2 linked regions of the Zea mays genome follow. The protein of the gene in region 1 binds, or shares a complex with, the protein of each later gene. Links are inferred from orthologs where the notes say so. Each region holds a gene or a part of one and is shown on either strand. Other genes may lie near its edges.

What was found. Proteins that work in one complex are often made in the same cells at the same time.
Region 2: Nuclear pore complex protein GP210 (region 1) and Aladin-like share a complex: the UniProt entries of both Arabidopsis thaliana proteins name them as parts of the nuclear pore complex. The link is inferred for Zea mays from reciprocal best matches to the Arabidopsis thaliana genes EMB3012 and AT3G56900.

What each region holds. Positions count from the first base shown.
Region 1 is NC_050097.1:170,603,111-170,605,445, reverse strand, and holds part of Nuclear pore complex protein GP210, read right to left. Parts: intron 1,533-2,335; coding exon 1,425-1,532; intron 1,322-1,424; coding exon 1,180-1,321; intron 411-1,179; coding exon 327-410; intron 1-326.
Region 2 is NC_050105.1:1,559,996-1,564,166, forward strand, and holds the start of Aladin-like, read left to right. Parts: upstream 1-1,366; 5' UTR 1,367-1,488; coding exon 1,489-1,546; intron 1,547-1,662; coding exon 1,663-1,718; intron 1,719-1,822; coding exon 1,823-1,993; intron 1,994-2,678; coding exon 2,679-2,793; intron 2,794-2,903; coding exon 2,904-3,003; intron 3,004-3,111; coding exon 3,112-3,294; intron 3,295-3,752; coding exon 3,753-3,811; intron 3,812-3,903; coding exon 3,904-3,991; intron 3,992-4,068; coding exon 4,069-4,144; intron 4,145-4,171. Other genes in the region: protein ROOT PRIMORDIUM DEFECTIVE 1-like, read right to left, coding at 1-211.

The DNA of each region.
Region 1 (2,335 bases):
TTACTCAGCAGTTCCCCAATGCCTCTCCTTTTTTGTGGTCACCAATATTTCCCTCATCTCCCCTCAAGTAAAGGGGCAGCTGTATCTCCCCCAATACCATGGGGCCCACCCCAACTATCACTTTTCAGCCATCTTTCCTCTTACACTCCTGCAGGACTCACCTTCCACATGGGTATTGGGGGAGATATATTGGGTTCCGGCTGCAGCAACTCCCCCAATACTCACAGAAACAATATTGGGCTTACCCCAATACATACATATTGGGGATAGATTATTGGGAACTGCTGGAGATGCTTTGTGTACGCATTGACGAGAAGGAAACGTACCCAACAAAAGAAGGGTCAACCTTGCATTCAAAGGGGACATTAATTGGGCTCGCAGAGGATCCAATACTGTGCTCAATTGAATCACTATAGAAAAAGAAATGAGAAAAGGTTAGCACAAATGATATGCATTGTTACATTCCTTTGAGACTGGAGATAGTTGCAGATACATGTGATAAACTCAATTACAGTTTCAAAGGGTACTTATCCGATTTTCATAGTGACTGCATTCCTATGCTAGAAGTCATATGAGACATTTTATGCATATAAATGTTGTGAGCCTCTCCTTTAAGATCACAAACTGCAGCAGAAGCAGATAACTACACATATAGAAATACTAAATGCAGTTGGCTTAGAGCATCTCCAAGAGACTCTTTATTTTTGACTCTCTATTTGACTCTTTATTTGTCTCTCCATAAATATTAAACTCTATATATAAAATCTCATTCCAACAGACTCTCCAACATGCAAGTTAATTTGGCTAGCGAGAGTTGCTAGCCAAATTTGGCTAGTGAGTGAGTTAATTTGGAGAACCAGATAGCTTAGCAAGTTAGATGGCTAGTCTGTTGGAGAGCTATTATACTATTAAGTAGCTAAAATTTATTTAGCTAGTCTCTTGGAGATGCTCTTAGATGGTATTTTCCATAGTGCACATACCATGCACTATCTGTGCACTTGAAATCAGTACGTTACACTTTCCACATATTCCAACCTAGTATACCACAAATTTATGTCTGCTCCTGAATTGACACGAAATCCCAAGGAAATCACATTGGTATGTTAGAGTAGTTTCAGCCTTGATTATAATATAATTACAAAAATGTGGAAGGAAGGTTATCATATGAGCAATACAAACCTAAATCTCACAGAAAACATGTATCCATCCGGCAGGCCAGCTGCATTAGTCAGTGTCTCCGCAGGAGCATCAACAACTATCTGGTTCACCTTGAGAACAGTGATAGTTGTTTGCAGCTTAAAATTTGAACCTTTGAAGATTACTGTTTAGAAAGAGTAGATTTGCGAGAAGTTATCATAAAAAAAGAACAGTCTAGTTGATAATGTATTATACAGTTATGCTTGGATATATGGTCTTAAGACTACCTTCCGCTACACCTTCACTACGTGCTTGTGCTTCACCAGTTACCCGATTGATGTGGACGATCTTCCCATTGCTACTTAACCAGTGACCATGTCCACACATGTCCATACCTATAACAGCAGTATGTTTATGACCTAACAATATGTATGGTAACAATGATTGCTTACTCTATCAATCAAACAAATACTCGACACTACATTAGTACTAAGCTAAAACATTAGCTGAAAACGACCTACTTCTGACCTATATATCACCAGTATAAATTTTTGAAAATGCATCAAGTACAATCACTTGAGCATAACTCAACTACTTAAGTACAACCATGTAATGCACGTATGAGCTTTCCATCCAAGTGATCCCAACCATTGGATTCTGAGTTGTACTGTGGTTGTACTTGAAGCATTTCCCAAATTTTATATGGGTGTACATATAGCTGTACTCGTTAAAATATGTTATATCAATTCACAAGTGTAGAGAGCACAAGATATATAGGGTTTACCCCTAACCCTAAAGGCCAACCCCCCCCCCCCCCGGGGCAGTCAAAACACTAGCCAGAGCAAACATTGACTAGATAGAATTTATAAAAACAAGGGAAGACCCTTCGTGAAGATGTCGGCAAACTGCGAGCTCATCGGGACGTGATGAACACGGATGTCCCTAACAGCAACGCGCTCATGGACGATGTGAAGATCGACCTCAACATGCTTCATGTGTTGGTGTTGGGCGAGGTTGACGGAGAGATAGACGGTGCTGAAGTTGTTGCAGTAGACAAATGTGCTCCGAGTGAGGGGGTTTTCAAGCTCCTAAAGGAGTTGGCGCAACCAGCTCGCCTCAGCAACCCCACTAGTGACGGCTCGGTACTCAACCTCAACACTAGACCGGAAGACCACGAGCTAACGCTTGAAAGACCAAG
Region 2 (4,171 bases), on another chromosome or scaffold:
CCAGCCTCAAGTTCCTCAGCTGAACCATTAGTTTGTCCAGCCTATGATCCCTCGTTCTTCCCTCAAGACGTGTTCTTGCCGAATCTACAGGCTTTCTCCACCTCCGCTGCACGCTGCGGTTAAAAGGACCGAGCTGAGTCGTCTCGCCCAACATCCGCGATAGCAGAGCGAGTGAGTGAAGGCTCCTTGCTCCAGATAAGATCGATGCCATTGTGTTTTTCACAGTTCAATTCTAAAAGATACGAAAATGCACCGAGAACCACATGTGGATCTCTAGAGCAATGGCGACTTGCTGGAGCTGCAACTGCAAGAAGGAAGGAGATTGCACGCGGAGTCAGTTTAGTAGACAATGGAATGGAAAGCACCAGGTTCGCATGAATGCACGTGGGATTGTTCTATTTACATGACTTGATAAGGTTCACTGAATAAAGAGGAGAAAAGAAAGCTGCTGATCAGTGGCGGAAATCATCCAGGGTAGGGGTGGGTGGGGGTGTGTGGGGAGGGGGTAAATAATTAAGGCTAGAAATCTTACTGGCGACATACCAAAATGTATACTAGGTACAAGGAAGAACACAAATAACAATATCAATTCTACCAAAGCAACATGTACAATGCTAAGAATCTTTTTTATATTTTCTCCATTCTAGCCTCCAGGCTCTGAGGTATGCAATGCGGCAACGACTGCTATGCAAGCAGTCCTTCTGTGCAAGCGTGCAAGCAAACCATCTGATCCATTAGATCGTGATTCAACCGTAGGTCACATTTAACACTTAAACCCTTCCACCACCCGCTCAATGCAACTAAATTAATCATTAAAGTAAAAATTTGCCAGATAAAAAGGGATGAAATATTGATTACCGGTGGCCAGTTAGTAGAGCGATGTCATGTCCTTTCTACTCTCTGCCTCAGCAGGTTTAGCACCAAGGTGCCCAGGCGGCCAAGCATGGTAGGGGCCAGGGGCCGAGCAGATTGTGCGGGCTCCTGCCGCTGCCGGCTGGGAGCCTGCCAGCCTGGGAGACTTGCTGCCTAGCCGCCTAGAGAGGGGGTTGGAGGGTTGACCGGCTGCCGGCTGGGACCGAGACGACGAACAGGCAAGCTGCAAGCTCCAAGCGGCTGCGGACCACAGTGGAGAGGGGCGAGGGGGGCGCTGGCAGCTTGCGAGATGCGTCGGCGGAGCCAGCAAGCGTGGGTGACGGCGGACGGAGAATGGTGGATCGAGAGGCGAGGTGCGAGGTGCTTTGGGCTGGGCCTTCAAGGCCTGGTTGTTTATGGGCTGGTTTTGTATGGGCTGCAGAGGCGAAAAACACATCCGCCCCTGGTCTGCCCGTCGCGCTCGCGCCTCCGTTCTCTCCCCGTTCGCCGCTCGGTTGCTTCCGCCGCCGCTTCCCCTGGCTGCCTCGTGTACTGGTCGAGCTCAAGCGCCCCATTTCGGGCTGGGTCCGGGAACCTCGAATCTATCTCCTAACCCTATCAAGCTAGCTAGCTGCGATGCCGAGCTTCCCTCCGCCGGGCGCCGTCACCATCTGCGAGATCAACCGCGACCTCGGTAAGCGCCCAGCAAATCCGCTGCCCCCCAACAACCACACACTCATTTTAACTAGCTGTAGTAAGCATTTCCGCTCGCTTGTTTGATTCAATCCGCCTCCCCCTGGCCTCTCGCAGTTGCGGTGGATGCCCTCTCCGACGACCGCGCCAAGGACGCATATGGGGATGTCCTCGTCAGTCCGCTCCCCTCGAACTCACTCTTCATCTGTGAACCACGTTGTGCTTGCCTGCCTGACGAGGGGCTCAAATCTGGGGCTTGTTGGCCGTCGTGTTGCAGGGGATGGTGTTCGCCCCGATTCCGTTCCAGCCGGAGGCTCTTCTTCTCGCCAGCCGCGAGCCTGCTGCTCCTGCCGCGGACCAAGTCGAGCCTGCTGACACTGTGCCCACCGCTGGTTTGGCAGCCACCATATCCGACTTCTTCAGGCGGATGGTCTTCCCTCCACTAGACGTGAGTTGGATCGTCCTATCTGAATTACTTATCCTCAATGTAAACTTTTTAGTAAATCATTACAATGATACTCACATTCGACCATTCTGGTTTGCAAGCCAAATAAATTTGAGTTACTACAATGCTGTTCACATTGGATTGTCCTATATTCCTAACTGAGATTCTGAGTTACTACAATTTGATGTTCCTCAAATTTGTCCCCAGAGATACCCGCGTACTTAAACCACTCGCTTGTGTGTAGATAAGTGAACTCCAGAATTTTATCATATCTTTTGTCAGTTGCTGGTGCTTATATCTACATACAAATACATGGTCATGCAACGAAAACTCTGTGCCCAAAGGCGAATGCATTGTCTGCTTCTCACTTCCCTAGTGCCACAGTGTGCTTTCATGATCTGATATATGTTGAATTGTTTTAACATAGTAAAATAACTTATTTCATGATTCAGGAGGTAACAATGTTACTCAGATTGCAAAAGCACAGCTCAACATAACTTGAAGGTTGATGTTGTATCAGAACTCCAGTTACTAATTCATCCAGCATACTTCCCAAAAAAAAATCTATCCTCCAGCTATTGTTCTTGGGATGAACACCCTAGATTTGCTTCCTGCTTGTACATTTCCTGTGTGATTTTTTACGAAACCATTACAGTCGTACTCAAATTCGATCATTCTTGTTTACCAGCCAAATCTGCTAGAAGAATTTGACACGCAGAAAGTAAGTTGGAATCCATACAAGCATTGCTTAGCATTCGTGTCTGGGAAGAACCAGGTTACTGTCCAAGACTTTGAGGACTCAGGTAAGATCGGCCTTGTGCCTATTTTGCTATGTTTTATTAGTTTATTTATGAACTGAACTCTATCCATCAGGTTAGTTGCAAAACATAACATTGGCCAATCTCTTTAACAGATGCTAAAGAACCATGCATTTTAACAAATGATCATCAAACGGATGTTAAGGCTGTTGAGTGGAGACCAAATAGTGGGAAGATGATTGCAGTTGCCTGCAAGTGTGTACTACTGCCACCTCACCATTTAACTTGAATCAATCCTTGTTGTCTCTGAATAATTTGCTGTCATACTTTACTTTTATATTGAAATCAGCATTTTCTTTTCAGAGGAGGGATATGCCTCTGGTCGGCATCATATCCTGGCAATGTCCCATTCATGAAATCTGGGGTCACTTCTTCTTCCTTTAGTGCCTTCCCTAGAGGTTCTGGTGGTCAGTGGATACTTGTGGATGTTCTTCGTGGCTCTTCTGCTGAGCTCGTTAGTGCACTTTGTTGGAAACCTGATGGAAGATATCCTTGATAAGTTTCATAGTGGCATTGTGAATTTTGCTGCTGCTTTTCATCTCTCCTTTTATTTATTTAACTCGCTAAACACCTCTGTATCATTTCGTCGGCAAAGAAAGCTAACCCAAATATACAACACCACTTACCCAACACAACACAAACACTCAAACCCATTATGCACAATGCAGGCATGCCATTGGAACAAAAGGAAAAAACAACCTAATAACCGACTAACCGAGGCAGGAGGCCATAGAAAAGAGTTTGGAGGTCTTTAGCCATGACTACTCACCGTTTCTCTTGTTTTAAAACTGTAAAATAACTAAAATACAGTGTGTGGCTAACTTCAAAAATTCTATTTTTGCCAAATTTACAGCACCATGCATACATAGATGTTTACAGTAGGTTTAGTCATTTGTGGGAAATTTCAACGGTTGAAGACATTTTTTTCCTTGACTGCTCTCCACATACTTGGCATCTGCCTCATGTAATAGTTCATCTTTCACAATTTGGGATGTGTCTCAAGGTATGTATACCAGTCCTTTTCTCAATACATGCAGTCAATCCCATTTATACAGAATTGTTGGCTATAATCTTGACACATTCCTTTTGCTTCAGGGTTGGGAACTCCTATACGGCGTGGATTAAGCAATATATCATTAGTGCGGTGGTCACCCAGTGGAGATTACCTTCTAGTTGCTAAATTGTATGGTCAATTTTCACTTTTCGTTTTCATTTCTTGTCGATAATATTTCCAAAAATTTAAATTTCATTTATTGCTAGTGATGGTACTTTTCACTTCTGGGAGACAAACACATGGACTTCAGAACCCTGGTCTTCGTCTAATGGATATGTGTCTGTAAGTGATATCTTCAGTCACAAATAC